Yarrowia lipolytica: one gene and its partners. The protein of the gene in region 4 purifies or fractionates together with the protein of the main gene of each other region. This does not show direct contact. Links are inferred from orthologs where the notes say so. Each region holds a gene or a part of one and is shown on either strand. Other genes may lie near its edges.

What was found.
Region 1: the proteins of YALI1_E34933g (region 4) and YALI1_F37963g purify together in Saccharomyces cerevisiae (affinity purification with mass spectrometry; 6 studies listed by BioGRID, with this or other methods). This does not show direct contact. The link is inferred for Yarrowia lipolytica from reciprocal best matches to the Saccharomyces cerevisiae genes UTP10 and KRR1.
Region 2: the proteins of YALI1_E34933g (region 4) and YALI1_B01628g purify together in Saccharomyces cerevisiae (affinity purification with mass spectrometry; 7 studies listed by BioGRID). This does not show direct contact. The link is inferred for Yarrowia lipolytica from reciprocal best matches to the Saccharomyces cerevisiae genes UTP10 and NOP58.
Region 3: the proteins of YALI1_E34933g (region 4) and YALI1_F07819g purify together in Saccharomyces cerevisiae (affinity purification with mass spectrometry; 3 studies listed by BioGRID). This does not show direct contact. The link is inferred for Yarrowia lipolytica from reciprocal best matches to the Saccharomyces cerevisiae genes UTP10 and FAF1.

What each region holds. Positions count from the first base shown.
Region 1 is NC_090775.1:3,793,370-3,800,287, reverse strand, and holds YALI1_F37963g (90S preribosome/SSU processome component KRR1), read right to left. Parts: upstream 3,939-6,918; coding exon 2,859-3,938; downstream 1-2,858. Other genes in the region: YALI1_F37998g (uncharacterized protein), read left to right, coding at 402-428, 482-952; YALI1_F37986g (uncharacterized protein), read left to right, coding at 1,599-2,786; YALI1_F37929g (uncharacterized protein), read right to left, coding at 4,758-6,918. UniProt on the Saccharomyces cerevisiae protein: Required for 40S ribosome biogenesis. Involved in nucleolar processing of pre-18S ribosomal RNA and ribosome assembly. Essential for vegetative growth.
Region 2 is NC_090771.1:158,818-166,216, forward strand, and holds YALI1_B01628g (uncharacterized protein), read right to left. Parts: upstream 3,993-7,399; coding exon 2,445-3,992; downstream 1-2,444. Other genes in the region: YALI1_B01644g (uncharacterized protein), read left to right, coding at 5,632-7,125. UniProt on the Saccharomyces cerevisiae protein: Required for pre-18S rRNA processing. May bind microtubules.
Region 3 is NC_090775.1:778,170-785,100, forward strand, and holds YALI1_F07819g (uncharacterized protein), read right to left. Parts: upstream 3,771-6,931; coding exon 2,598-3,770; downstream 1-2,597. Other genes in the region: YALI1_F07793g (uncharacterized protein), read right to left, coding at 155-1,191, 1,839-1,854; YALI1_F07827g (uncharacterized protein), read left to right, coding at 4,569-5,363; YALI1_F07847g (uncharacterized protein), read right to left, coding at 5,805-6,545, 6,622-6,624. UniProt on the Saccharomyces cerevisiae protein: Required for pre-rRNA processing and 40S ribosomal subunit assembly. Seems to act in the processing of 35S rRNA at the A(0), A(1), and A(2) cleavage sites.
Region 4 is NC_090774.1:3,486,193-3,496,573, forward strand, and holds YALI1_E34933g (uncharacterized protein), read right to left. Parts: upstream 7,140-10,381; coding exon 2,550-7,139; downstream 1-2,549. Other genes in the region: YALI1_E34870g (uncharacterized protein), read left to right, coding at 784-960, 1,048-1,119; YALI1_E34880g (uncharacterized protein), read right to left, coding at 1,541-1,837; YALI1_E34942g (uncharacterized protein), read left to right, coding at 8,075-9,016; YALI1_E34979g (uncharacterized protein), read right to left, coding at 9,174-10,381. UniProt on the Saccharomyces cerevisiae protein: Involved in nucleolar processing of pre-18S ribosomal RNA. Required for optimal pre-ribosomal RNA transcription by RNA polymerase I together with a subset of U3 proteins required for transcription (t-UTPs). Involved in ribosome biosynthesis.

The DNA of each region.
Region 1 (6,918 bases), on a different chromosome or scaffold from region 4:
GGGTATGTACTCATAACCTAAGTCTCAGATTGAAAACGAAAAAATGGACTCCAAGATGAACGAAAAAGAAGACCCATATCATGGAGAGACAGAATATCTTTCAACTCGGAATGAGGGCTGATATTAGGAGTATTCTGGCGGGTCACCAACGGGGTTGTTGGTGTGAAGTTGAGAATTTTAGAGGGTAATCTTTCGAAAGTCATAACATCTATATAAGATATCTATGTTGATGTATTAAGGGGACGAGTAGCTTCCAAATGAGACCAGACTCGTATATATTCAGCTTACCAACTGTCGTATTATCAACACTTCACCTTCCACACCCCCAAATTAAACTTCCTGGGACTAGCTCTCTCTCATAACCTAACGCACAGGTTGACAACTCTTCATCATCATCAATAATGGACCGACACGACAACCGTGGAGGAGTGAGTATAGCGGATCGAAGGCTCAGCCATCCATTCACACGTACTAACAACAGCGACGAGGCGGCCGAGGCGGCCATGGCAACGCTGGCCATTATGGAGGACACAACCAGCACCAAAATCAGCAACACCAACAGAATCAGCAGCAGCAGAACAACCAGAACCAGGGCCAGGGCCAAGGTCAGAACCAGGGCCAGTCCAAGAAGCTGGAATTCCCCAAGCGAGAGCCCATTCTAGATCTGTCTCGATTCGAGAACAAGCGAGTGGTTGTCAAGGTCACTGGCCGAAAGATCGAGGGCACCTTAAAGGGCTGGGATCAGCTCATGAACTTGATTCTCGACGACGTCAAGGAGACCATTTACGAGGACGAGGAGAGCGAGGACTTTGCCGAGTTTGAGGGTCAAAAGGAAGGCAAGGTGCGAGAGATCGGTCTGGCGGTCATTCGAGGCCCTAACCTGCTTTCTATCTACCCTCTTGACGGAGGAGAGGGAGTTGAGGTGGAGCCCAAGCCCGAGGTCACTATTTAATTGGATAGTAATAGAGTGTATATTATGTTGTGGTGGAAGTGAGATGCTGCTGTCGTTTTTCTTAGCAATTGTAATGGGGCGCCATCAGAGGTGTACAGTATGTACTGGGATAAGTTAATGATATGTTCGGCTCGGAGCAGGTATTGAACAGTGTAATGACCCGACATACTCTTCGTACATGTACTGAATTTCTAGTTATAATCTATAAACTGCAATGGTTTCAAGTAGCTACGTGCTGTAGTGTACTGTATGTGATAGGGCTGACTACGCCATGCTCTGGGTTCACTCACACGACCCAACGCCACCCCTACTTGTAGTCTTACTACTTGTAGTCAGTAGAAACGGGGGCGTGTTTACCATTAGAATGTACAATAATGGTGCTTATCGAATGGATAAAGGGTTAATATATCGATTTCGATTAGTAATGTATCGAGCTATTGTATGCACATATTCACGCCCTCCACACACCACACACTTCCACATATTAGACTTGCCTGTCCCATGCGTGTTGGGATAATTGGCTTCACAGAACAGCGACACTCACTGATAAACAACCAGTCACACTTCTCCAGCCACCCAGCGACGGCCATACTCGAAAAGTCACTGACACACTCATGTCAAGGAATTGAACATTTCAGCAACCATAATGCAACTAGAACCTGCTCATCTTGTGTACGCCGCATTTTGGACATTTGGGTTGGTCAACAACGTGCTCTATGTGGTTATCTTGACCGCCGCAGTAGACCTGGTGGGACCTCAAACACCCAAGGCCGTGGTGTTACTGGCCGACGTACTCCCATCGTTCTTGATAAAGCTGGCAGCACCATTTTTTATCCACAAAATCCCCTATAACCGCCGAATAACATTGCTGGTTGGCCTGTCAACTGTGGGAATGATGTCTGTGTCACTAGCATCTCCTCTGTTTCTCAAACTCGTGGGAGTGGTGCTGGCTTCTTTCTCTTCCGGTCTGGGCGAGGTCACCTTTCTCCAATTAACCCATTTTTACGATACCAGGGCTCTCAATGGGTGGAGCAGCGGAACTGGAGGTGCAGGGCTAGTGGGTAGCGGGCTGTTCATGCTCTTGACCACGGTACTCGGAGTTTCAGTCAAGACGTCATTGCTTGTCTTTGCATTCTTTCCCCTGGCCTTCTTAGGAGTCTACTTCTATCTCCTTCCTCCTAGAGATTATAACCGTGTACCAGGGGCCTTCCCTGTGCACAGCAATGACCCTGAAACAGGTATTGAAACACAGCCAATCACCTGGGAGTTTGTTGCTTCTGGATACGAAACTACAATGGTCCGTTTGAAGCCGCTGGTTATGCCTTACATGCTGCCTTTGTTTCTGGTCTACTTTTCCGAGTACACCATCAACCAGGGAGTGGCACCCACACTTCTGTTTCCCATGGAAGAGTTGCCCTTTTCTAAGTTCAGAGATGTCTATGTGACCTATGGAACACTATACCAGTTGGGAGTATTTATCTCACGTTCGAGTGCACCATTTGTGAGAATTAGACGAATTATGATCCCCTCAGTGCTCCAGTTTGCCAACCTCGTGTTTTGCATTGCACAGTCTATGTCACCGATATTACCCAACGTCTGGCTGGTGTTCATTCTCATATTCTACGAAGGGCTGCTTGGGGGAGCTGCCTATGTCAACACCTTTCTGCTGATTACCGAACAGGCTGATTTGGCAGAGCGAGAGTTTGCTCTTGGTAGTGTTGGTATGAGTGATTCTGCCGGTATTGTTCTTGCTGGTCTAGTCAGTCTCTGGCTTGAGCCTGGACTGTGTAACTACCAGGTTAATGATGGTCGAGGTTGGTGCACTTTAGAATAGCTCTCTAGCCTAGCTAGTTAATTTATTTTAACCAAGTTATGCATTACAAATCTATTTTACTGAACAAGCAAGCTACTCCACGGATCGCTTCTTCTTCTTCTTCTTTTTCTCTCCCTCATCGTCGCTGTCATCGCTCTTTCGCTTCTTCTCCTTCTTCTCCTTCTTCTCCTTCTTTTCCTTCTTTTCCTTCTTTTCCTTCTTCTCCTTCTTCTTTTCCTTCTTGGCCTTCTCTTCGTCCTCGTCTGGCGCAATGAAGGCCAGCTCTCTCTGGGCCTGCTTCTCTGCACTTCGAGCAGCCTGCTGTTGTCGCTTCTCCTCGTCGGCTCGTCGTCGCTTCTCATCGGCACCCAAGAAGAACTCTCCAGACTCGATCTGCAAATCCACCTTTCGGGGCAGCTGGGCAGGAGGGAAAGCGGTTCGAACCTTGTTCTTGATGGTCTTGGGCTTCTTTCGAGCAACATTTCGCTTCTTGAACTGGGGCAGGAAACGGCTCCAGTCCTCCTCGGCTAGCTCGGGTCGCTTGGCCAGCTCTCGCTTGATCATGAGCTCCTTGATGTGGTAAATGGGGTGGATGTTCATCATACAGTCCTCAATCACTCGTCGCAGAGTCTTCATATGTGTGTAGGGACCCATGACAGAGACGGTGTTACCCTGAACAAGGATATAGCACTGTGTGAGCAGTTCCAGGGCCTTGAGAGTGTTACCGTTGGGTCCAAGAAGACGCTGTCGTCGCTTGACAAATCTCTCCTTGTTGCTGGTGAAGTTACCAATCTTGATAACGTCACATGCAATGCCGTCCTCGAGAATCTTGACTGCCTGGGGGAAAGGCACCGATCGGGCCAGCAGCTTGATGAGATCTCGAGCGTTCATAATGGCGTAAGGATCGTAAGTTTTTCGGGTGGTTTTGACGGTCATGGAACCCTCAACGAGATCCAGAACACATGCAATACCCTTTTGGTCGAGGGCTTTGGTGACATCATCCCAGATTTCCTTTAGGTAGCCTTCTCGGTACTTGGGGAACAGTGTGGCGAAGGAAGACTCCTCGGCAAAGGGCAGACCGGAAGCGTTGTCCTTCTCGGTGAACTCATCCTCGGCCCACTTATCAATGTGGGGCTGATCCCATGGCTTGTCTTTGTTATGAGTAGAGACCATTGTCGGCTGTGTAGTGTGTCGTGAAACTGTCTACCTTGGACGAGATAAATTTGTCGCATGAAAACTCAATTTTTTTTCTATCAGAGTTTGGCGGATTGGAATTAGTAGTTAGGTAATCAATAGCTACTTGGGAAATTAGTTTAGAGGTGGCACACACCAAAATTAAGTTTATGCACGTTGAACCACCTAAAGAGAAATATTTTGAGAGGCGTTGCCATACAACACAACCACAGACATTACACAACCATGGCAAAGACTAACGTGACAAAATCAAAGGCCAGAGCAGGTCCATTTTCCAGACCAACACGTGACAAGACTGGTGGTGTAAAAAAGACAGCCAAAAAGCCGGTGCCTAAACAGAAGAGCCAGAAACACAAGGACTCGGCTCTGCTGGATCTCGTCAACGATCCAGATGCTCTCAAGGATGTCTACTCTGTTAAATCCAAGGAGACACTGAAGAAGGAAAAGAGCGAGGCCCTTCTGAAACAGAAGGAGGAAGAACGAGAGAAGCGGCTCGTCACCAAGAAGGAGCTTGAGAAGCAGATGGACGACCTGGCCAGTTTTGGCCTCTAACAGATGGACCGATATATAGGTCTACGAATATATTTATTGCATTTTTGACAAACGATTTGGTGGCGTACAGTATATCACAGGATAGTGTGCTTTCAGATTATTAGCAGGGCTGGCCACCGCGTGCAGTAGCTAAATACTGTACTGTACTTGAACTAACTGCACATACGGAAGCTACGATAATATACAATTGAGTAGTAAAATAAATATAAATAAATAACTGGCCAGATAATAACGGGTCTCGCGTTTCTAGGCCTTGATAATCATGCCTCGTCTGTCCTTGCCTGCCCTGGAACGAGAAAACCATCCTGTCTTGAGCACCTTCACCAGCTCGTCCATCTTTTGCTGTTGCGCATCAGCACTCAGAATGGAGGCCAAGATGGAGAAACACTGTAAGAGTCTAACGGGAGTGTTGGCTCCCTGAGAAGATAGCTCGAAATTGGAAATGATTCGAGTCAACCGCTCAGAGTGAGGGAGAATGATGTAGTCTCTGAACGCACACAGAGTCATGAGACGAATGTTCAGCTGATCACGGTCCATGAGCAACATACCCCAGAACTTCTCGCTCTCTTCGGGCTTCATGCTCTTTCCGTAACCATCGAACTCCTGCTGAAGAGGCAGAAAGACACCCTCCCAGTAAGGGAGCACGTCTGAGAAGAAGTGACCCCAAACTGTCGTCAGGTGAGCAATAAGCTTGTCATCTGGCACACGGGACATAGTAGAGTCCAGCGTATACATGCCAGATCTCAGCAGGTCCTTGAATTCTTGCAACAAAGACTTGGCTGTGACATGCTCCTGGATCCGCAGATTAGTGTGCATCACCACCAGCTTGTTGAGATCTTCAATGGGGACTCGGATGCCTTCACCTGAAAACAAGGGAAGCACTCGAGAACACAGAAGCGCCCATGCGTCGTCAGCGAGCTGTTCCTTATCCTCCTTGGTCTGGTTGAAATTCTTGAGTTCCAGAGCACTGGAAAAACTCTTGTGTAAAGCACCAGGTGAGGAGCTCTGGAACGAGTATAAGGAACCGCCCTGTTCGTTGATGAGCTTGGAGTTGGACGAAGACGAAGACATGAAGGCAGCCGCAGAATGCACATCCTTCTTGGCTCTCAGCAGAATGGAGTGGGCCTTGTTTTTCGCACTGGGAGAGTCATCCTTAGCTCCGGCTGTCAAGGGATGGTTGTAATCTCCTCTGCCAGACGCCATGGTTGGCGTGATGGGTACGTTGCTGCCGATGCTTGCAATTCGTTCCAGTTCCTTGGAAGGTCTGTTCAGTGGACTTCTTTCTGCTAGTGAAGGACGAGTGCTGGGGAGTTGTGTCTGAATAGTAAGGTCAATGTTGCCTTTGCGCTTGAGTTTGGGCTTTAAACTCTTGGCTGACGATTGTTGTTTTGCTTGTTTGGCAAACAGCTTTGCCTTAAACAGAGCCGACTGTTTAGAGGGCACATTGGGGGCATACGCAGCTGCAGCGGCAGCTGTCGAACTGTCTGTGGAAGTTGTGTTTGTGGTAGAGAGTCCAACGTCATTGTTGTTTCCCATACCACCAACCACAGAGCTCATGTCGGATTTCACAGACGCGCTGCTACTCATAGCTGCGCTTGAGCTGGCAACGTTGTTAGACCCAGTGGAACCAGTAGCCACGTTTTTGGGGCTAGAGCTGGGCGAACGTTTTCCAGAAATCTTCTTACCCAGCTTTGAATTTTTGAGGCCATTGTGGCCATGTAAGTGGATTCCAAAAGGGTTATTTGAGTGGCCAAATGACCGCGTCTTCTTGGGACTGGTATCTGGAGGGTTGTCGTTTTGGGAAATCGGCCGTTGAGTCGACTGGATGGGAATAGATGATACCCTTCTGAGAGCAGTAGCAGCCGCAGTGGCAGCAGTAGCCCCATCGAGCGTGCTCATAGATTGTTGGACCGTATTAGTGCTGCTATTCGACGAATAGGAGCCAATGCCAGGGTTCCCACCGTATCCTTGTGATTGGCCTAGACCTGGGTTCGAGTGTGTCGGAGTAACTGGACTGTTTCCACTGACATTGCTTAGATTGATTGTCGAATAGTTGGACCCGATGAGAGTCGAATTCGAGTCGCTCTGGCCGTAGAAAGATGCAGAGGGAGATGATGGCACAGAGGATGTCGTCGTAGCACTGTTGGCAGCAAATGGGGCGTTCGGACGGACCAGGTTTCCTGCAGATGCCGATCTGGTAGCCTGATTCTGAACGGGTGGTGGCTGCTGAAGTGGCTGTTGTTGATGCTGTGATGCGTAGTGGTGTTGCTGATGGCCGATGTTGACGAAATCCTCTCCTCGAAGTTGTGGGCTAGGCCCCAGACTTTGGGTTCCATTTTGGTGCTGATAAGGCGCTGCAGGAGGGTTGTATTGTGGCTGCTGCGGGGGCTGCTGTGGCTGTTGATGC
Region 2 (7,399 bases), on a different chromosome or scaffold from region 4:
AACGAAACGGCTCGTGGTCTTTTATCGCAATCAGGTTTTCCAGTTTTCCGTACAACTTCCACCCCATTGCGTAGTTTGTACAAACCAAATCCTCTCGCGTGACATTATTCACGGGGACCTCAATGTTGTATGGTGGTGAGAGCCCTCAAAGTGGTTAATTGGGTGTAGTGAAGAACTTGGCCGGAGAAGGAGGAAAAGATATCTTCGGAGTTGGGTGAGGGAAAGACTTGATCAGGGTAAGAGATGGAGTAGAAAAGTTCGGTGAAGGAGATCCCCGAGTGAGATCCATGAGGGAGATCTTTTCAGAAATTGATCCAGTCTTTCCATGTTCAGTGAGTGAACTTGCTGAAAAAGAAGGGGTGCATCCCGTGAAGAACCTATCTGCAGAGGATGAGCTCAGTTTAAATAGACTGGAGCAATGGCCACCCAACACCAACCATGTCGTGATCTTGGTCCAAAAAAATTATATAAGGGGGAGTTGGGACCCCCACTATTCTTACAGACAGACTCAGACGAACGCAGACAGTCACAGACGAACACAGACAGACAGAGTCGATCAACAGATATCCACTGTTGCAGTCAATGTCGCAGTCAACGTCGCAGTCAACGTCGCAGTCAACGTTGCAGACCGCCCTTTTGAGACCACCCAGTAAATGTCTGACATTATTCTTCTGGCAGCAGTGACAGATACACACACAATGTCTCTGGCTCCAGTGACAGATACGCACACAATGTCGCTGACTTCAGTGTTACTTCACACCGGTTCTCCGGTTCATGGTGAAGCCTTCAGTTTGTCTCCACTCCTTCTCTCTTCGCTCACTCAACGTAAGTACAGTCACAGATACCTCGTGAATGATAGCTAACACGGACCTGTGTCAAGGAAGTTTCACCCTTGAATATCTCTGTCAGTGGCTTTGCGAATGTATCACTGACTGGCTCTTTGCTCTGGCAGCGGCACATGTGATCCTCAAGAACTCACAAGGCACGGAGCAGGCTCGGTCATTTTATTCGGCCAAACTCGCTCTCAGCTCATGGCATTCGTCAGCTCATGGCTGTCAACAGGACATACAGTCTCGGATCTACTGACACTTGGCGCAGGCGGTCGTTCTCGCCTCAATGTTGAAATCGCCGAGAAACAAATCTCTACTCAAATGCCCAATCAGAAGCCGTCGCAAGGTTTCCATAGCGTATCAAAGAGATTCTAAGACTGATTGCCCAGGTCTTGGAGCTCGTTCGTTCGCTCACATTCTAGGCTCCACCCGGTCATCCGCTACATCCTTCCTCTCGCTTTTCCAATTCACCAGATCTGTTCATTCCCTCCATCACCCAGTTTCCTTCAATCCAATTCCCCCTCCACAGCCGTCCGGTCAATGGTCTCCATACGGTCGCCTACTTGTAGAGCCAGTGTTGTCCGTGAAGGATGGTGGTTGGAAAGAAAGGGAGTGAGGTGAATTAATGAGGTAATACGAGTGTAATGAGTGGTCCAGTGGTGAGGCAGGGTTGGGGTATGATCGTGGTCAAGGGGTAATTGAATTATTTCCTCTTCTACCGAGACCCCTTTATTGTTCAACCCCTTTACCTTCTGGCCGCAGCCGCGCAACACAGGCTCTGTCTTCTTGTCCAATGGTGCAGCGTCATTCATACCACGTCATCAAGTCGTTTCCATGCAACCTCCTCCGTTGACAATTCTCTACACGAATATCTATTCACCCTCCCCATACTGGCCTAGTTCTCCGCCCCTATACTCCCGTCATGATCAATCCTTGATAGCCTGCTCTTATCCCACAGTGCCCCCCAACCATTGCAAATGTTCTTAGCACAGAGGTGCCTCCGGTATTGATGGCGAAAGTCGCAGCCATTTCATTTGCAATACTTCGATAAGTGGCAGAAGCTCTCTGGCTTCTTCCGGAAAATCCAAGCTTCCCCTCGGAACTCGTTCCCAATCACAGCGCACGCTTTCGCACGTCTCCCACAGACACATTAATGATGACTGCCGACTTTGTACAGTCCTGATCACTACGGCAGTTCTCCATGCCACATTCCTCCTCACGGTTACGCTATAGGTGATAGGAATGTGTCCTACTTTCAGCCCGTGAGTACACTTGCATTGACTAACACAGGCCTTAAAGATCAGCATGTTCACAGGGGGTCCAGGGAATCACCAAGACGCTGCAGCACTACTCGGTTGTCGGTGTTCTGATACGATACAAGCAGTCTATCCCAACATTTATAGTCGGTGGTCAGTGGCAGTCGGCGCTCTTGGTGTTTTCTCCTACTGTTTATAGATCAGTAAATCTCGACTGTGAGTGGGCGTTCGCGGCGTTCGCGGCGGTCGCTGCTACTTTCTACTGCCTGGGTCGGTAACTCTCGACTCGGGCTGTGCCCTCATTTGTCGAACCTCCTCCGCGTCTGTCTAACAATTAAAATACATACCACTATCTACTTTACTTCTTGCTCTTCTTCTCCTTCTTGGGCTCGTCGTCGTCGTCCTCTCGCTTTCGCTTCTTGTCCTTCTTTTCCTTCTTTTCCTTCTTATCCTTCTTTTCCTTCTTGTCCTTCTTGTCCTTCTTTTCCTTCTTGTCCTTCTTTTCCTTCTTTTCCTTCTTTGCCTTCTTCTCCTTGACCTCCTCCTCAGAGTCGGAATCCTCGTCGTCAGAGTCGGCTCCGGCGGTGGTGTTGCCGACGGTGTCGGCGTCAGCGTTGTACTGCTTGCCGGTGGAAAGGTCGACCTTCTTGTGCTCGATCTTGTTCACGTCGGGTCGGACGGTGCCGACAATCTCCTTGCCCTCGAGCTGTCGGAGACGGTTCTCGACCTTGATTCGGTTGTCGATGCCGAGAATGGGCACGTCCTCCCGCTCCTCGGCAAATGCATCGTATCGCATGGACACGGAGGCCTTGGCGGCGAGCATTCGGGCAATCTTACCCTTGTTCTTGCCGGAGGCCTGGCCGATGAGCGAAGCGTGGTAGATGATACCGTACTTGGGGGTATCGTGCTTGGTCTTGAGGGCTCGGAAAAGGGCCTTCTCGGCACCAAGAATCTGGACGGTGGAGGCGGGGGCCTTGGCGAGGTTGACGAGGGAGCCGGAGTGGGCAATGAGCCGGGCACCGACGAGCTCGCCGACGAGGGCGGTCAGGTTGGGGGCAATGGCGGCCATTCGGGCGTTGAGGTAGTTGGAGAGCTGTTCTCGGTACTCGGCAAAGTCAATGACCTGGTCGGCGAGGCACTGGATGTTTTCGAGGTCAAACTCGGTGATTTCCGTACCCATGGAGACCTCGGCGGCAACCTTGAGGGCGGCCTCAACCTCCTCGGGGAGCACCTCAGACAGATCGGTCTCGGAGGCGTTGGATCGGTAGCCCATGGTCTTGATGACTCGGGCGTAGGCAATGTTGTCGGCGACAATCTTGGCCATCTCGGGGAAGTGCCAGCCGTACCACTCCTTGATTCGCATGGCGTATGTGTTGAGCTCCTTGTCCAGATCATCTAGTAATGCGATGGCCTGCACAATCATGGTGTCGACCTTGTCGGGGGAGAACTTGAGCTTGTGTCGTCCCAGCGAATGGGCCAGACCCAGGCTCATGGTGGCCAGGTCCTTCTCGGTGAGGCCGGGCAGCAGAGAGGGCAGGTTTTCTCGGATGGCTCGGAAGAGATCGAGCGAGGCGGACTCGGCAACCACGTCAAATGGCAGATCCAGCTTGTTGATGGCGTTGCCCAGCTTGGGGTCGGCCACCACCAGAGCAGACTTCTTCTCGTCCTTGAACTCGTTGAGCAAAGCAGCGAGCTTGTCGGAGACCCGGCCATCCACAATGGCGTTGACCTCCTCCAGAGCAGAGGCGGCAGAGTCAAACTTGGAGAAGCCCTTGACCTTGAACTGCGAGGTCACCAGCTCGGGGGTCGACAGCTCCTCGAGAATCGACTCCGACTTGTAGATCTTCTTGTCCTTGGCCTTAAGCACGGCGTAGCCGGCAGACGTTTCCGTCAGAATAAATGTCATGGTGTCGTGTGTGGGCGGTGGTGACGTAGATGACAAGTGCGGTTGTCAAGTGTAGTCAGTGGAGATGGATGGGAAAAAAATTTGGGACGACTAAATTTTTTCCAAAGTTTATTTTAGGGTTAGGGCCCAGGCGAGACAAGCCCAGATGAGAGTGTAGCGAATGTCTGGGCGAGTCTGAGCGGGGAAACATCTGAACTGATACATGTGGTATTTTCTGACCATTTCCCCATTTTCCCATTTTCCATTCTCATTTTGCCATCTTTCATTTTTTCCATATTTTCTCCAATTTTTCCAATTTTTCCAATTGTCTTTTTTTCTTTTATCCATTTTCCATTTTTCCATTTTCCATGTCCCATCGTTTCCACAGTGAAAATTCTTCTCCTAATTTTGCTGTGATTCAGGAGGCTTGAAATGGGGTTTTTTTTAGGGAAATGATTTATTGATTTGAGATTTGATTTTATCTGATTTATTTTGATTTTCAGATTTTCCGGTCCCAATTTTCCCATTTTATTTCAGATTTTCCGGTCCCAATTTTCCAAAAAAATTCCCACGCTACACCACATCTAAATACGGTCGAATCTTCCTAGACGGCTCCATATTTCCACTAATTTCACAATAAAGTAGGTACATTGTGCGATTTTCTTTTCTTCCTTTTCTCTTTTTTTATCCCATTTTTTTGTATATATTTGTATATATTTTTATATTTTTTTTCATTTATTTATTTAATTTCTAGTTATTTTTTATTTATTTTAATTCATTTGCTGAACCGCTCTTCCGATCTGCATATCACTGCAGAAAGTGATATCGATAAAAAAATAGTCAGATATACTCAAGTGGAGCCAAACGGAAACAGGATCGACGGGATTGAATGATCACGTGATGAGAACAATGGGTACTTTCAGGGTGGTCACGTGATCAGAGTCTTGGTCGGCGCGGTGGGGGTGACCTTGACTGACCTGGGGGGGGGGAATGTCTGATGGGCTGTCGCTGACTAAGGTGATAATAGGGCAGAATTCGTAATGCAGAATTTGTAGATTAGGAGATTCTTGGATGCTCACGGTGATGAGGTACTCGTATTGTAGGTACTCGTAGATATGTCTTACCGAAAACAAGTGGACGAGATCACCTTTTGACGAAAGAGACACTCTTTTGGCGATTCCAGAGACTCTGTTTGGCTTCCCACGACTTCTGATGTATACACTGACTCTCATCTTGAAGCTCCAACATTGCTCAGATTTGAATGGTTGAAGTTGCAGTTTGTTAATGGGGTTGTTTTAAATAGTATGCTCCATTCAATATTTCTCATTTGTTCTTTGATTGTGTTGAAAAACATGAAAACTATCTGGAAAGGGTTTGGTAACAGTAGCTAACCAAGTTTCAACAAATGACACCAGAATGCTAACCAATTTTCAACAAATGTCAACAAGTAAGATTTCAGATAAGTTCGTCTCCCGCCGACCGTCCACCCGAAATATTAATACCATTGTGGAGCTGTGATTGAGGAGATTCCAAATATTTTATTTTCGACACGATTTCATTGACCTACCGAGAACTGGAGGGCCCGTCTGGTTCTAAATAAACTTTCTGCACTTACTCCAGACACTTGTCACCACTTTTAGCCACTCTCTCCACTTGACCAATGATCAAAATCAAGCTGAAGCCCGAAAAACGGTCGCCGGAGGCATCGCCGGAGAAGCGGCGGACCAAGAAGCGCAAAACGGATGAGGAAGGGGCCAAACCGAGCACTCCGTCGCTCAGCATCAAGTTGAAGGCGCCCAAAAAAGAGCGGGAGTCCAAGCCGCGGTTGTCCCTGAAACTGAGCAACAAAAAGAGCGAGAGCGCGGCGCCGGAAAGCAGCCGGGCGTCGACCGCGAGTGGCGGATCCACTAAAAAGAGCAAGGTGGTGCCGCGGATCCGAGTCAAGGCCGCCCGCGAACCGGGCCAGGGATACGACAGCGAAGCGCCGGACCGCGAAGACGATCCGCTGATTGAAGAGGGATTGATTTTGCGATTCCCACCAATCGGTAAAAGAGGCCGCGACGACCTGTCATATCTGCGGACGGCGGTGGAGAACCAGGATTACAGCAACATTGTGATTCGGTTCAAGGACTCGCGCAGGGCGGTGGTTTCTGTGCGGGGGCGGCATTACGCGGCGAAATTGGTGGACTTGCCGGCGATCGTCGAGGCCCAAAAGACGTTTGACCGCGGCAAAAACATGTTCAAGTGTCTGGACATTTGCCAAATGTTACTTGTCACCGAGCCCATTTCGTCCGAACACAGCATTATGGAGGCGCGGTCGATGCAATGGGACAAGAGCTCCAGCGAAAGCGCGCTGACCTGTCGCCATGGCCTGACTCCGCCGTTGTTTGACGCCAAACGTCGCCGATTCAGAAAAACCGTGTCCACAAAGGTGATTGAATCGGTGGAGCAAAAGGTGACGGACTTGCTGGATCTGGACGACGAGGCAGACTCCACATCATATGAGCTTGTCGATGGACGCACCCTGGCGTCCTTGTATGGAGCCGGTGGGGTTGCGGGCTCGCAATCTGTGTCTACCACTGTTTCTGCCGCCGCCACTCCTCCTCCGCGGTTTGCCATGGTCGACGAGGGAGAAATGGACGTGGATTTGCTCGATAAAGAGCTGGAGCGGGCCCTGGAGGACCAAGGCTCGGATGAGGGCGAAGAAATCGAGGCCGATGATGCGTCCGAGTCCGAAGATGAGGGAGAAGGCGCAGGTGAGTCGGACAACTCGGACGAAGAGGAATTGCCCCGAGCGTCGGCCGGAATGGACGATGACGACGACGGTGAAGAGGGAGGACACGCCAAGGTGCTGGTCGACACGATTGCAGATCTGGAGGCGACCATCAAAAAGCAGCAGGACGACGCCGACCGCACCGCCAACGCCATGCTCAAGGAGCGGTTCAACCAGCGAATCTCCAAGCTCAAACATGAGCTGGAGGTCAAGAAGAAACAGCTCAAGGCAAAGAATACCATCAAGGAGAAGAAGAAGGAGATCGATAAGAAGGAAAAGAAGGAGGAGAAGGAGGAGAGTGAGGACAAGGTGGAAAAGGGCGAGGTCAAGGACAAGGGTGTGGGCAGTGACGACGATATGGATTTGGATGATTTGTTTTAGCCGAGCTCGGCAGGGTGGGAGTTGATATGGAGAAAATCCAGACCCGAATCTATTCCGTTCCACACCAACGACAAAGTCCGATGGGTCCGCTCGTGGTCCGTTCACCAGAGGAGTCGACCTGTGAACTTCAGTCATCTCTCTACACTGCTTCGATATGCCACGGGACCTCCACCGTATGTCGTCTAACAACGGTCTGCATCGGTCTAATGAAATACAATAATTTATTCTGGTTCTGTACGAGTAGTGGAGGGTGTGTGCATGTTGTCATATGACT
Region 3 (6,931 bases), on a different chromosome or scaffold from region 4:
TTATCTCTCATGTCGCAACTGTGGTTGTAGTTACATTTTTGCTCATCGAGATAAGCCTTGATATAGCTACAAGTACAACACTTTGACGTTATCGTCAGTATTCAACCTATATACCCTTTCCCTAATCATTTACCTGATCCTCCACCTCTTCCTCCTACGACATGCTAACCCAGGCAACGGCATATCCATACACGCCGTCGGCCATCTGAATGATATGATACGAAATGTGATCTCCAAGAGATGCAAGAGATAGCACTCTGGTAGGGAAAGTGTGCACGGGAGAAACCACTCCCCGTGAAACCGCAGGCCCCTTACCGCCTCGTCGGGCCTTCAAAATAGCTGCAAGAATAGCAAACAGCACCATATCAATACCCACATGCACACCTATTGCCCGCAAGAGCAACAGGACTCGCCGCCTCCAGTTTCGGCGCGGTTCGGACGGATCCGCTGGCCGGTACTGCTTCGCCATGTCTGCCATCTCCTCGTTGATGGTTCGCAGAGCCCAGGCCATGTCGCTCTTGAACCTGTCCGACGGAATCGGAGGAGTATGCTGCTGATGCTGATGTTGGCTCTGGCTCTGGACCAGATTGCTCTGTGGATGCGGCGCAATGGCAGTATGGTGTGATCGCGAGTTGCCTGAGCCATGCGTCAGGTTGGACCCCTGCTGTGCTCGGCTTGATCCGCCCACCCCACTACCATGGGCGCCACCTCCACTGCCATGGCTCACGTGACTGGGAGAAGTGCCAACTTCGGCCCGTCCCAGAGCCGATCGAGAGGGATACTCGACAGCGTCCTCGTAAAGCTCCTCCTCGGCGCCCTCAGAGTCCGACGCGACGTCCTTGATCTGATCCCACATGTACTCCAGCTCCGCCAGCAGCTCGCGCCCCTCGTGAGTATCTGAGGCGTACGTGTTCATCAGGGAGATGAGGAACGACACGTATCTGCGCTTGGCTTCGGTCTTGGACAGCCCCTGCTGCTGTTTCCAGGCGTCCCACTTCTTCTGGCCAGCCACATCAATCTCCGAATCTCCAACCGGACGGGCCATGACACCCATCACGTCGCCCTCGGTGGCCTGCTTGTACATTCCATAGAGCTGGATGCGCGACTCGATAGGGGGGCGGGGTCGCGAGGAGTATCCTGGCCGTGAGGAGAGTGTCCGGATTGTGTTGATAGCACGGACAAATACCCGGTCTGAGTTAGTATAATGGGGGTGTTGGTGACCAGCTGTCAAAAAGACTGTATGAGAACTGCTGGGCCAGACAGGAGCGAGTGTGCACAGACCACCAACAGTCACTTCCAGCAATGTAGCAACCAATCTCGAACAGGAGTAACGAGAGCGTAGGTCCTAGCGAGTCCATTCAGCGGCAACAGACACTAGCAAGCCTTAGTGCCGCTCTAGCACACGACAGTATCTACGGCAAACGTCCGGAGCATGGTAGCAGCATGAAAGTAAGGGGCAGTTTCCTTGGACACATCCGGTCGGTGCGACAGGGTGGTACGGTCTTCTTTATATGGAATCCCTGCCACGGCCCTTGCCGTCACACCGTCCCTGTCTCTGTAATGTCTGTATCTGTCCAACTCGCCACCAAGCCGATTGAGACATTAATGTAGCTGAGCCGTGAAAATCTCACGTGTGCCAATCCGTTGGGGCTGTTTGTGTGCGTAGTTGGTTGCCTGTTGGACGGCTCCTCTTGGTGTTCTTCTGCTTGTGTCTGCCCGTCTCTGTGATCTCGGACCCCACACCTCGCACTACTGACACGAGTACTGGTGACACAAGCAGGTCCATTTCCGCGGTTCAGTTGTTGCCACGTGTCCTCTCCCGTCGTTCCCCTACTCACCAATGGAGTCACTCATGTCGTGTGTAATGCTGAGAGAAGATGTGATCTCGAAATCGAAATCTCAAACGCTATGTGTGATGGAGATGTGATGTGATGTGTGATGTCATATGTATGTAGGCTGCAGGTTATTGTGGAGAGCACAACTGGGAAATGCCACCACGTCAACCAGAGGGTTAGGGCCGGGTTGTGGACACGGAGAAGATTGAAATATGTAGCCGCGGCCCATTGACATTAATTGGCAGTATCTATCGCCTTCCCCATACAGCCACAGCTCTCCAAAGTGCTCTTGCTTGCCATTTCTCTTTTCACGTGGTGGGGTTTAGAGTTGTAGAACCGGTGGTATAATCTGGCTATGATTTCGGGTGGGGTAGGAGAACCCAGTATTAGTAGAGGAGCCGAGGTAGGTGATATTGGGGAGGTTTTTTGTCTACAGAATATTATGGACAGATTTTTCTTGGTGGCTAGAGCTGAAAATGGCCATCAAAGGTGCTACAATGTGGTTTGAGCGTCTCCTATAGACTGCCATAGTCTGCTGCTTAGTTCATTGAACTCTCCAAGTATTCCCCAAATGTTACTTGGATTCTTAATAGATTATAGTTAATATCTAAACAAACTACAGTTGATAGAGACTCATTCATCCAACCTGTATATTAATGCTATGCGTGCTTTTTTTGTCATCACCTCCCGGTGCCATTTAAACGTTCACGTGACTCCTGTATCTGTGTCCTGGACTAGTCTCCTAGTCATTCTTCCGGTGTCCTAGATCTTACCTCCAAACTTGCGAATCTCGTGTTTAGACAACTTGATTCCTCCAGCGGTGCTCTTACCAACCGAGTTGATTTTCAGACCTCGGTCTCGCTTGACAACCTTCTTCTTTCGAATGGCAAACCGGTTGTCCACCGGAGCCGTCTTAGCCAGAATAATACCGGCCTCCTGGGCATGCTCTTGCTCGGCCTTGACCTTGTTCTGGAACTTGGAGTTGACCATTTTTCGAGTCAACATTGGCATGTTCTTCTGGAGCGGGATATGTTTGCCTCCCAGACTCTCAATTCGAGACGTCAGGGTCTTAAGACGAGCCTTACCAATGGGACCATCGTCCAGGAAGGAAATATCTGCTCCAGAGAAGCTAGACTGAGCAGCCTGAGAATGCAAAATCGAAGACTCGTTGATAAGTCGTTGCAGAGCCACGTCATTCTGCAGGTCCTCCTTCTCCTCCTCCTCTTCCTCCTTGGTCTTGGGCACTCGTCTTTGAGTCTCACTGAGTAGCTTCTCCTTCTCCTCCTTCTGGACCTCAGACAACGGTGTCTTCTTGCTCATGAACCGTTTCTTCTCGGCTTTTTCGTTGAAGTCCCTCGTAGAACGGTCGCTTCCAGTGAACCGGACAATCACAGGTCCTTCTTCTTTCTTCGTTTCTTCCTCCTCCTCTTTCTCGCTCTCGGTGTCCATCTCATCGTCTGATGGCCGCTCCACATAAGTCTTGGAGAGCTCGACGAGATCCTCGTTGTCGTCAAAGTCATCATTGTTATCATCCGACTCAGACTCAGAATCTTCATCCTCTTTGTCGTCCTCCTTTAGCCCCTCAACATGTCCAAACTGGGCCTCAAATGCTAGTCTCATTTTTCTGTGGTACTCCTTCTCGGCGTCTTCCTTGGAGGTTTTTGCGGGTTTCGAGACCTTTCTGGAAGTATTTGTCGGTTTAACGGGTTTAGATTTGCTTGTTTTAGTCTTGACTGTCTTCTTGGCCTCCTCAACAGCCTCCTTTTTGGTATCTTCCTTCTTCACTTCCTTCTCCTTGGGCTTCTCCTCGAGCTTCTTCTGGGCAGGTTTAGCAGGTTGGGCTTGCTCAGCAGGCACTGGTTTCTTCGCGGGGGCCGCCTTCTTGGTCCCCTGGGCCAGATCGCCCAGATCAAACGGGTTGAATCCTCCTAGCATGATGAGTTGAGTGATGTTGCAGAGTCGAAAATAAATTTCAGGCCGTTGAAATAAATTTAATCGTGCATAAACTCAAATGGGGGGGTGAGATTAGTAAGAGAGAGGGAGAGCTGCCGAAGTGTGAGTAGGAGATGTGGAGGAAAAGGCGGGGGCTTATGTGGGGATTGGGGCGGGGCAGTTGCAAACGTCTACTTAATTGGACCAAATATCGGTACTTTTCAGACCCACGGCTCACTTTCTGACACTTACTTTCTACCCAAGTGAACTACAGTATGTACATACATACAGTTGAGTGAAGGAAGAGATTAGAGAGTTTCAACCGATAGCGGGAGTTCTGATTGTAGACAAGGAGGTGCTGAAAAAGTCAGATACAAGTACCGGTACAAGTACGTTATGTCAGTTGAACCATTGATGAATTCTGTCTCGTTTTCAACCCTCCAACTTCTCGTAAGCATCCAGTGATCATTCTAAAGGAGTTATATATTGTAGTTTCCGCACACACTCTACCTCAGTGTCTCAATCTCAGCTCTTCCTTGCCCAATGTTCATAATCTCCACCACACATAAATGACGACCAGAAGCAAAAAATGCAGTCACATGACCTGATCCACCACCCTATATATTCCTCCATAATCCCCTTTTGTCGCTTTGTCTACTCTGGCAGTCCCTACCATGCTCCTCCAACCCACCAATAAAGTTCCTGATCAGTACTATACATGAAAATGCATGATCTGTGAGAGTCATTATCTCAACTGCACCACCACAGTACTCACACCAAAACGCAGGTCCGAGCTCAGACATGACGAAATTCCGAGGCTGTATCGATATCCACTCTGGACAGGTCAAACAGATTGTCGGAGGCACTCTGACGGACTCAGACGCTGATCTCAAGACCAACTTTGTCGCTACCCAGCCTCCGGGATACTTTGCCCAGTTGTACAAGGACAACAATGTCGTGGGCACCCATGTTATCAAGCTGGGTCCTGGCTGCGACGAGGCTGCCGAGGAAGCCCTTGCTGGCTGGCCCGATCATCTTCAAATTGGAGGAGGCATCAACCACGACAATGCCGAAAAGTGGATCAAGCTGGGAGCTTCTCATGTGATTGTCACTTCTTTTCTGTTCCCCGACGCCAAGCTCGATATGAAGCGACTCACAGATCTGGAGGCCATTCTGGAGCCCTACGGCGGCAAGAAGCGCATTGTGGTGGATCTGTCGTGTCGACGAAAAGACGGCAAGTGGGTGGTGGCTATGAACCGATGGCAGACGCTCACAGACACAGAAGTCAACAAGGAGACGCTGGAGCAGCTGGCCAAGCACTGCGACGAGTTTCTGATCCACGCTGCTGACGTGGAGGGTCTCTGTAACGGCATTGATGAGGAGCTGGTAACTAAGCTGGGAGAGTGGCTTGAGGAGGGTCATTTGCCCCCTGTGACGTATGCTGGCGGCGCCAAGAACATTGATGATTTGGCCCTGGTGCAGAAACTGTCGCATGGCAAGGTGGATCTGACCTATGGAAGTGCCCTCGACGTGTTTGGGGGAGACAAGGTCAAGTTCAGTGACTGTGTCGAGTGGAATGAGAAGATGCACAAGTAGACATGGATGAGGATGAATAGATGAATAGAACGGTAGCAAAGCAAGCGTGAACTTGGAAAATGGTGGGTACTTGGTGCGGACTAACAGTGATAATGAACTATCGTGTCTGACTGTAGGAAGGCTGTGGGTGCAATCAGGCTGATCGGATGCCAGGAGTTGTGCACTTAAGTCAACAGAATGAGCCTCTCAGGTAGAACCTCTGTCAACATGGACCTCTACGGTTGATATACATTCTTCAGACTACATCTCGACACTTTGGAGTAGATGTACCGGCCGGTGCCTTGGTTTCACATTTCGCATGCATCTCGGAATGTTGATCTGTGGTCTACGGGTCACTTACATGTATCATTCATAAGATATATTCAAATAGCACAGCACACGTGTTAAAGCACATGGACACGGGCTATTATCGTGCTACTCACTCGAATCGCACTGAAATGCTTAAAGTCGAGAGTTGATGATGTCAACAAACTCGGGCTTGAGAGAAGCACCACCGACGAGGAAACCGTCGACATCAGACTTGTCCTTGAAGGTACCAGAGTTCTTGCCGTTGACGGAACCACCGTAGATGATTCGGACCTTGTCGGCCTGGGCGCCAATCTTGTCCTTGAGGTAGGCTCGGATCTCGTGGTGGATCTGCTGGGCGTCCTCGGCGGTGGCAGCGAGACCGGTACCGATGGCCCAGACGGGCTCGTAGGCAATGACCACGTTGGACCAGTCCTTGATCTTGGCGATGACGGGGTCGAGCTGGGATCGGACAACGTCCAGGGTCTTGCCAGCCTTCTTCTCGTCAATGGTCTCTCCGATACAGAGGATGACGTCGAGACCGTTGTCAAGAGCGTACTTGGTCTTGTCGGCAATCCACTCGGAGGACTCCTTGTTGATGGTTCGTCGCTCGGAGTGGCCGAGAATGACCCACTTGGCTCCAACGTCCTTGAGCTGGGCCACAGACACCTCACCGGTGAAGGCACCGTCTCCCTTGTCGAAAGAGTTCTGGCCAGCCACAGACACGGTGGGCTTCTTCAGAGACTCCTTGGCGAGCAGGAGGTAGGGGAAGGGGGGCGAGATGACCACCTCGGTCTTGGGGTCGAGCTCGGAGGCGTTGAGTCGCTCAACAATGGCCTTGATGGACTCCAGAGAGCCGTTCATCTTGAAGTTTCCGCCAACAAAAAAGGTTCGAGACTGTGTTAGTGCGTGCGCGCGCGGGGTTTTGTGTCGCTCAATTGACCGCCGGCCAATTGTCTCCTCAATCACTCACCATTTTGAATGTAGTTGTGTTGTATGTACGAGTACGAAGGAGAGTGACATTGCTTGTATATCTGACTATGTATGACGAAAGTGTCCCGAATAAGGTTACCCTATTCTATTGGTTGGGATGGAGAAACGGGTGGAAGTGTTGGGAAGCGGAGGAGATGAATACAACGCGCCCAGAAGTCGAGAATATGGCGCCGAGTCCAGGCGATATTATCGGATGCCCTAACCCGGACGCCTTTTGAGTGCGCACGGACTGTATTTCTAACCCCACCCTAGCCCTGATGGAGCACTCGTGGCGATATCAACCTCTAGCT
Region 4 (10,381 bases):
CTGTCGAACTGTCATGGGACCAATAACTCCACTACTAAACGAGACAGTTGAAAAGTTTCGATCCTGTTGCTTTCACAAAACCATACTGATATCACACCACGAGGATGTGGCAGTTCCACCCAGTCTACATTAATTACACGTGCTACGAGTACCGGCAGCACAGTATGTACGAGTCGTTGATTGTTGTTAGATCAACCAAGCAAGTCCAATTGGGTATTTAACAATTACAAATTGCACAAACCCCTGCTCGGTATATTTCTTGGTCATTCAAAGGATACTATGGGCAAGATATCTCCACATGTAAGTTAGAGGTCTTACCCGATCGCGTTATCAAGGTCCCGTGGGTACCTAATTATATCCCCAAGCTCGAGTATTTGTTGCAATCACGAACTTAGCACGCGGCTGATGAGTGCTTTTCCGGTATAGCCCAGCAATATCATACCACTCACATACCCTAATGGTGAGTTAAGGCCGTGGAGAATTAAATCCGAGACATATGTTGGACAGCGTGATGAGTATGAATTACACCAGATTGTAGTCGGATTTTCGCTTAGTCCCGTCCATTTTTTTCACACTTCTCCGACTACTATTTCGAGTCATTCTTATGACATACGTACGGAAGTCTCTCGTGTGTGCCCACATGTTCCGTGCAGTCCCAAATATACATAACCCTGGTGGCTAAAGCTGGACCGTGGCGCCAAAAGTTTATATTGTTTGAAGTGCGAACTTTGAAAAATTCACACAACATAAAAGCGTTGCAAAGACCAGACAATCAAATTCGCAATGTTCAACGTCCTTCGATCCATTAGCCGAGTTCCGGCCATGATTACTCTTCAGCGACCCTCCCTGTTCCAGACCGCTGGCCAGGTGTCTCGACCGGCCGTGAATGCCGCTGCCGCCATCACCGTCCGAGGAATGAAGACCAAGTCTGCCGTGCGAAAGCGATGCCCCGACTGCTACGTAAGTATCCATCCACAAGAGTTTTTCGTGACACTGTTCACTAGGATCAAGTGATTCCGCCCCTTCTAGACACGTTACTAATATCAGATTGTCACTCGAAAGGGTCGAGTTTTCAACTACTGCAAGACCCACCCTCGACACAAGCAGCGACAGGGTTAAATGATGCTATTTATTGTAATTGTACATATTTCTGATTTACCAAGGGAGTGTGGGGGCGAAATTGCGTACACTGGTTTCGATGTGGACGGAGTGGATGTGTAGATAGGTACTGTATTCAGTTTGCCGCCTGATCGGATGGCCACAGAAGGACAGAAATTGGAGATCTTACAGAACATGTACCGTCAAAATAATAAATCAACGCTTACACATCTCAAAACTTCAACTCTTTCAAAAGTTCACTACTTGTACAATTGTAGTTGCTTAGCTACTCATTATCTGAGCACATACACTGCAGTACTGATTTATCATCTCTATACATTGCTCACTAGTTCTGCCAAGTTTGCTTACTTCATTGATCAATTGATCATAAATTATTCTATAATATTTTGCATGTACATGTGACTACTGTAGCACTCATGACTTAGTCAACCTCCACCACGGTAGGGCACTTGCCGCCGCAATGGGCAGCACCCTCACCTGCGACAGGGAAACCTCCAGAGACTCCGTAAAACTTCATCAAGATAGGGTTGGAAAAACTCTCAAGCTCCTTCTGCTTATCGGAGTATTCTTCACTGGCACTGGATTGTGTAGCATCTAAGAATTCGATGGTCTCGTTAATAGCCTTCTTGAGCTTCTCTCGGTCCGCTTCACAGACCTTCCCCTTGAACTTGTTCTCGGAGAGTGTTCTTGAGGGAGAAGGAGAAAGACTTGTGGCCATTTTGGCGGCAATTCGAGCTGACTTTCTCTCTCATCCTCGTCCTTGTACTTTTCAGCATCGTTCACCATTCGCTCAAATTGCTCTTTGGAAAGTGGACCTTTGTCCTTGCAACAGTGATCTGCTGGGTATTACCAGTACTCTTTTCAACAGCGGAGACGTTGAGAATACCGTTGGAATTAACGTCGAAGGTGACCTCAATTGAAGGAACACCTCAGGGAGCAGGAGGAACTCCGGACAGCTCAAACTTAGAGAATGAATCTGAATCGGTGTCTGAGCCGAAGAAGAAAGGGTTTGCTAAGCACGTTCACAAGCGGTTCGCAGTCTAGCTGGTTGGTGGAAGTGTACTTTTTGTGCGTTGAGCACCGGTAGCTACAGTATCGTACATACTTGCAGCAAGATAGATCCTTTAGAACACAGACAGAAAGTGAAATACAGTGCTACTGTAGCTTGATTTACTGGTTCACCAAGTGAAGGTCTTAGACCACCAAGCGACAGAGCAAGTATATGGGTATGTGCAGTGTATTATTACTGAAGTGAGAAAGTGCCACTTCTTTCAAGTATGTGGTCAAAGGTGTTTTGGACAGAGTCAAGAGAGTCCACTACAATTACGAGTGTACGATACATATACTGTAGAAACAAAAAGAACACCACAATTGCACTCAGCGGTCATTAAATTTTTTACAATTAATTAGATATTCATTTTTGGAACACCTTAAGCAAGATATCGGTCGAGAGACTCGCCAAGAACCTCCTCAACGGCAGGAATGAGTTCGGCACGAACAGCAGACTCAACCTTTTCATCTTCACTTTCAAGGAGCTCGGCAATCTGGGGTACGAGCTGAGGCAGGAAGGGAAGGAACTCCTCGCCAACGTTGTTGAACAGAGCAGCGAAACATCGAGATCCATAAAGAGGAGCCTGGCGTAACAGCTTGATCATCATGTCGTTGAGCTGCTTCTTCTGGTCCTCAGAGGCCAGCTCGCAGAGAGCCACAACAGCCTTAATGAGAAGCTTGGAATTCTCGGGCGCAACCTTGGTGAGATAGGGGAATTGCGCACCCAGAGCGTCGGAAATCTTAGTGAAACGCTCCTCGTTGTTCCAGAACTCTTCTCGGTCAAATCGGAAAGAAGAGTAAAGGGAAGAGAGAATGTTTCGCTGGAGAGCAGGAGTGATTGCAGAAGCCTTGTTAAGAATCTCCAGAGCCAGATCGATGATGTAACCGTAGTAGGAGGTAACAATAGACTTGAGGTTCTCCTGCAGTCGGCAGACAATCTTGAACAGCAGAGTGGATCGCTCGGGAGTGTTCCAGTCGACAATCTTGACGAACAGAGGTCGGAAGGTTTTGTCATTGAGCTTGAGGACAATGGCAATCAGGCACTTGATGAACAGATTCTGGACACGAGCGGCAGTGTTGGCCTCCAGTTTCAGAGAGGAGTCGAAAGCTTCCAGACATAGAGTGATAAGGCTGTCGGCCTTGGAGTGGATTTGCTTCTTGTCAGCTTCGGCGACCGCCAGATCAAGCGTGTCAGCAAACAGACGAGCATTCTCGAAGCCCTCAACGAACTTCCAGGAGTCGCACAGAGTCTGGAGGACAACTCGAGAGTCCATGGTCTCGACACAAACAACAAAGAGCTGCTTACGGGTATCGGTATCAGCGGGACACTTGAGGGCAAATTCAAAGATCTTGGGTAGAGAAGAGACCATGAAAGAGGGCAGTCGCTTGATGAAGGTGGCAAAGAGAGCCAGAACCGACAGAGCAATGAGGTTGTCGGAAGAGTCTCGAGCAAGAACAGACGAGATAGTGGCAGGGAACAGACCAATCATTCGGGCACCCAGTCGGAGACACAGAGAAGAGAGGACAGATACGGCCTGGATGAAAACATCGTCGTCAGAATTCTTGAGCTGTGCTACAGCTTCGCCAGCACAGGTGACAAGAAGGGCATCAGAGCACTTAGGGAAGCCAGAGGCCACAGTTTCCACGATCTGGAGCAGCAGAACAAGATCGCCAGTATCGGTGGTGGACTTCAGCAGACTGTGCAGAGACTCGAGAAGAGTGTCGGAAGCCTTGGTATCTTCCTCCTCAATAGAACCTGAGGAGAATCGGGCCAGGACAGTCTTGTAGACAGAAGAGCCAAGTCGGCCAGCAACAGTGACGAAGAGGGGCAGAGGCAGCAGAGACAGGATAACGTTGAGCAACTCAGGGTACTGGCTCTCAATGAGCACGGTGAGCACGTTCTCGGCAATCTTGAGGGCCTCGGGGCTCTGGACAAGACCGGCCTGGAGAGGCAGAATTCGGGACTCGAGCAGAACAACCAGGAAGTCGATAGGAGAAACCTCGAGCTCCTTGTCGACCTGCAAGAAAATCTGTCGTCGAGTCTTCTTTTCCTTCTCCTTGGTCTTGGGGTCCGTAGCAATGATGGCGTACAGCTCCTGGACCAGAGTGACATAGGGAAGAACGACAGCAAGCTGCTTGGAAGCATCGAAGAGCTTGAACAGAGAGTCGCAGAACTTGGCGATAGCAGAAACTTCGGAAGTCTTACGTGCAGTCTTAAGCTCAGCAGACTTCTGGGCAAACAGGAATAGCAAAGTGGCAAGGGCGTCCTTGGTTCCGGAGGCATCCAAGGCTCGGACAAGCTCGCCAAACAGCTTGACTCGTCGGTGCTGAGGAATGTGGGGGAAGGCGGTGACGAAAGAGACCAGAAGCATGTCAACCTTGTCAGTGTTTCCAGCTAGACAGGGCACTATTCGCGCCACAGTCTGTTCGATGACATGGACGGAAAAGTCGTCGTCCTGTCGGAGAGTGTTGGCGCCCATAAAGGTGAAAATGGGCATGACAGAGTGCAAAACCAGAGTTGGGGCCACAGTAGCAAGCTCAGCAACAAGGAGCAGGTACTTGTTCTGGATCTGGGCGTTAGAGGCGGTTCGAATAGCAGAAACAACAATGTCGACTCGGATATCTCGATCAATGCTGGCTCCATCGTGTTGGTTGGCTCGAATGATGTTGAGAAGAACATCAGCAAGCAGAGACTGGCAGTAGTCAATAGGCAGGTTGGAGTCGGTTCCGAGAGTCAGAATCTCGCCAAGCTGAGTGAACAAAGGGCCTAGAAGAGCGTCGTCAGTGGTCTTGGATGCAACAAGCAGCTCCAGAACCAGAGAAACCTTTCGCAAGTTTCGCTCAGCAATATGGTGGAGCTTGCCCTGTAGCAGGTTTCGAACGGTGGACGAAGAAGATCGTCTCCGTCGTTTAGTAGACTCGTCAGAAGGAGCATCCATGGAGGTTGTGTTTTGCTCGACCTTGCAGTCATCCAGCAGAGAGATGAAGACCTTGGTAGGGACATCAACGTGAGCGAGAACATCAAGAGAGTCAAAGGGAACGTCCTTGTCAAGGGAAAGATCAACAAAGAATCGGAACAGGCCCAGGTGAGCATCTCCCTTGAGGGTGGGCCACAGCTTGACTAGTCGCTGGGTGACAATATCACATACTTCATCGTAGATAGGGGAGTCGTTCTTGATAAGGGACTCAAGGAACTTGATTCCGGTCTTGTCGGTGACAGTTCGGATTAACTCAGTAATGTACGCCAGATCGTTGGGAGGGTTGATGTACAGAGGCTCAACAACCTTCGTGGTAGGCACAATGGGCTCCTCGGAAGAAGTGACCAGAGTAAGAAGAGATGTTCTAATGGCGATAATCTCCTGAGATACCGCGTGCGAGCCGAGGTAGGCAAGAACCGCGGTTGAGAAGGCGCTCTTGTAACCCTTCTTCTTAGAGATCATATCAGAGACCTGTCGGATAACAAAGGACTCGTCCAGAATACACTCCTCGAGAGACAGAGCGTTAAGAAGGACGGTAACGTCACCAGAACCGAGGTAAGAGCAGTCGTTGGTGTAAATCTTCTCCACTCCCCAGATGGGTTTCTTGTTCTGCTTGGACTTGAGCACTTCGGCGAAGCTAGCAGCGGCCTTTCGGACTCGCTGGGATGCGTCAGAAAGAGCAATGCATGTGTAAGGGATGAGGTTTTGGAAGTCGGCCTCGCCAGCGGCAGTAATAATAGTCTTAGCGGCCTCCACGGCAGCAAGACGCGCCAAAAGAGGTGAGGGAGAAGCCCAAATTCGAGCAAAGAAGGTTAGGGAAGCAATGTCAGAGGAGAACATGCTGACAAACTTGTCCATAGTGTATCCTCGCTCGATGAGCTGAACAAAAATCTTGGAAAGTTCCGCGTAATTCTCGGAGGTCTTGGTTGAGAAGTAGGTGGTGGTCTGAGAAGCGGCTTTCTTGGCCTGCTCAACGAGAGACTCGACATCAACATCCTCCTGGATCTCCTCGACCTCCATCTCCTCGACGGCAGCCTCAGTAAAGACAGTCTGGAGCTTGAGCTCGAGCTGGTCGAGTTCAGGCACAGTCTCACCTCGGGTAACCCACTTGGCGATGACGGGAGCAGCCAGAGCAGCAACAGACGTGTTGGTCTCCTTTGCAAGGGCCCAGTCAACAATGTAACGCATAAGGAAGGTGGACTCGTTAGAGCCAAACTGGGTGTTGGAAATGATCTCTTCAAGACCCTTGAAATTGGCAGCGTCGGGGTTCCGGAGCAGAGCCATGCAGTATCCGAGGGTGAAAAGAGCCATCTTGTACTTCTGAGATAGGGCGACAACATCTGAAGGCTGAAAACCGGCCTTGTTGAGAGCGGTCATGACGCTAGTGGGCAGCACCTCGGGCTCCTGCTTTTGTTGGTACATCTGGGTGATGCAAAGAATACCGCTCTTGATGGCCTTCTGGGTCCAGTTTGCAGCGATGGTCTCAACGAGAGCGTTGAATACCTCCTTGTTGAGAGGCATTTTGTTACCAAGAACAGTCAGAACCATGTAGGCAGCAATCTGGCAGTCGGTATCGATGGTGACAACGAGCTTGGCCAGAGCCGGCAGGTAGATCTCCAGCATTCGCTCGGGGTCAGCCTTGTCGGCGACCAGGCCGTAGATGGCAAACTGCGACCAGAAAGACAGCTGTCGCTGGTATGAGGTCTTTGTGGTAGTCTGACCAACGATATACTCGGTGATGAGTTCAAACAGACGCATATCAGCACTGAAGGCTCGGATCAACAGGTTTCGAGGGGGGTTCTGGGCAGCAGACTTGCTCTTGTTAAGGAAAACAAACAGGGGAGGGAGCTTGATGATGACATCGGCGACCCGCAGGTAAATGTCCTGGTCGTAATAGGGGAGGACACACAGGAGAAGCTGCTCAGCGTTCATCTGGTTGACATGGAAACGTCGGACGAGCCATTCCAAGGCCTTGACGGCAGGGGAGAGCATCAGGTAGGGTCCAATTAGAGAAAGGAACGCCGAAATGGCCTTGTCGAGCAGGTCGTTCTGCTCCTGGGTCTGCACATATCGATCGACATCAATAGAGGTGTCGCTGAACAGGTTATTCTCGAACTGAGCGAATCGGGAGTCCAGAGAGACGAGATCTCGCAGGCCTTCAACACCAACAGCGTGGATAAAAGAAAAGTCCTGATCCTGGGCAACCTGAGGCTCGTAAATGAGCGACTTGGAGTGCTGCTTGAGCTTCCAGGTTCGGTCGACGGTAGATCCGCCGCCGAGTTGGGACAGCTGTTGAGAAAGGGTAGACACTGGGTTAGTTTAATGGACGAGGAGTGACAATATGACTGTCGTCCCCAGTTTTTGGTACTCACTTATTCCCTTTAATTAATACTGTCGTTGACGAATGTGGTTGTGTATGTAGGTTTTCTGAAATTTCACCTCAATCTCTTCACAAAAAAATTGTTTAGCCTTGCATTGCATACTTGAGGTTATGAGTGTGAAGAATGTGTCCAGTATACAAGTATCGGTATATACTGTATGAAGAAGGTAATTGGAACAGATAACACTATCTAGGGATTATGTCATTAATGGATATTGTTGGATGCATGTAAAATTTTTCTGGTTTGGGGACGTATTTTAGACTTTATAGTGTCTACAGCTAGAGTGTAGAACTTTTTCAACTAACTCTAGCCCATTACTTGGTTTATACATGATCCAATAGATGAGAAGTCCCACCTGCCCCAGAGTCCAGACCACATAAACACCTAGCTGTCTCAAGAATGTCCGACGTGACATAGTCACTGTCGTCTGTCTCAGTCAATTGCTGTCGTATACGTTCCTCGTAGCCGCGACCATATTTTCCTCATAAGCCGTTCCATCAACTCGTACAAAGCAGCATCGTTGCTTGAAGTTCAGGATTAGCTTCGATGATGCATGAGCAATGTGATGAAGCGAAATCGAAGCGTAACCTGATACCAAAACAGTCTACGCTACAATACATAACCATGACCAGCACTCTGAGCACGACCAAGAACCACCTGGTGATTCTGCCACCAACCACAAAACCAACAATTGTGTCGTTGACACACCCTCGAACCAGAAACCTGGCTCGATTCGTCGTTGACTCCTCCGACCCCAAGCACACTAAGGTATACGAAATCACCCAGATCAACGGCTCCAATGCGCACTTCGAGGGCACACCTGATCCCCGAAGCATCATTTTACAAGTCGAGGGTGACAAGGGAAGTGTGATTCAGGATCCCTCGGTCTTCATGACCACTCCCTTCTCTCCACTATGGCTCATTCTACCCACTCTGGTGCGGCATAAGGACAAGCTGATGACTCTGGACGACCTGCACGAGGCATCGTGCCACGGTGTCGACAGGATGGACTTAATCACTCAGGACACGTTTGATAAGTACATCCCAGATGTGTGCGAGGTTATGGACGAGGGAGAGAAGTTCTACAAGCTGTCCAACGAGAAGTTGCTTGCTCACTTGAAGGCTATCGTCGCTAGCATCAAGAAGAGCCTGCCCAACGATATTTATGTGCGACATGTACAGAACTTGCTCGACTCAGACGCATCAGACGAGATCAAGGATCTCGCCAAAGAGCACATCTCCATGAACATGCTGGGTTCCAACCTACCGCCAGATGTCACCGAGATTTTGCTGAAAAGCGTCGATTTCGAGCCCTACAACAAGCACAAGGCCGAGTATAAGGCCAAGAGAGATGCTGAATCGGCTGCACAGGGTCCTTCCGGTCCCCCTGAGAAGAAGCGGAAGAAATCTGCACCTGCCAAGGAAGAGAAGGCACCGAAAAATAACAAGCGACTTACTGCTTTCTTCTCTGTGGTGCCTAAGAAGTAGTAGGTAGAAGCGTTTTGTCTTCTACTGTGTAAAAACATTGACATTAATTATTGACCCCGCAGTGCAGTGCCCCGTAAGTCTACACACTTCGCTATCATTATACAAAGTCCTTAAATTACACCAACCTATACATACATAAATAACAGAGCTCCATCGTCTAAATGTCAGCCAAAAAGTTGCTGGGAGCTAGACCAGTTCGCTGGCCTCGTCCGTAGACCTCCACTTCCCACCAGCCATCGTCCTGCATTCGCAGTACCAGCATCACTTCGCCCTTTCGGAACGACACCTCCTCAGCTATGGCAGCTCGGTAGTCGTACTGCGCTCTGGAATAAGATATAACTGGCCGTCCATCCGAAGAGACTCGTGGGAGCTGTGGTGCGCCTCGAGGAGATGACATTCGGGGATCTGGGTTAAATCTAGGGTCCATTCGGGGATCCACTCGAGGCTCACCCATGGACTTGGATCTAGGACGACTATCTTGGTATTGCTGTTGTTGTTGCTGCTGGGCATGCAGGTGGTATTGCTGCTGCTGCTGCTGCTGAGCTCCGTAGAGATCGTAGGATCGCCCGTTAGGTGTGTGGCTTCGCTGAGGTCGCTGTTGACCTGAAGCGGCATACAGGTTTGGCTGAGATCGACCATGTAGAGGTTCAGAATAAGGGTTGGCACTACCAGGTCGAGCAGCAGGGTTGGGAGAGACACTTCTCAGCTGAGGATCGGGAGAAACAGTACGAGGGTAGTGGTTGTCTCCCACAATGGAGGGGGAATGAGCTCGCTGGCCCTGTTCGGCATAGAGCTGTCTCTGGATCTGTTCGGCGGAAGCTCCCTCGTAATAGCTCTTCGGTCTGGGCTGGTCAGATCGAGGTGCTCGTCCTCGCTCAGGCGTTCGCTGGACGGGTTTGCGATGCACAGGCTCACGGGTTGCTCCTCCAGAGTCCCGAGAGTGTCCCTCACCAAACATGTTAGCAGCGTACTGCTGACTAGTCTGCTGCATGTCTCGAGCTGTGAATGCAGGGGCAGGAGCATTGAGGTAGGAGGGCTCAAAAGACCGGCCAGGAGATGAGGGTGCTGATCGAGAAGCCACCCGTCGCTGAGAAATGGGCTGGCCACTTCCAAGAGTACCGTACTTGGAGCTATGAGGCTCAGTGTTGGGTGCGGAGGACACTGAAGAACCCACGGAGGAGCTCGACCCCACAGACAATTTGAGCTGTTCAAGGGCAGCAACAAGAGGATCGTCTCGGGACAGCTTCTTGACATTCTGAGAGGAGGCACTATTCATCGTGGATGGAGGAGCAGGCGATGAAGCCATGGCAGCTCGCTGAGGAGCAGGAGACTTCGAAGGGCTCAAGTCAAATGTGTTAGCTCCAA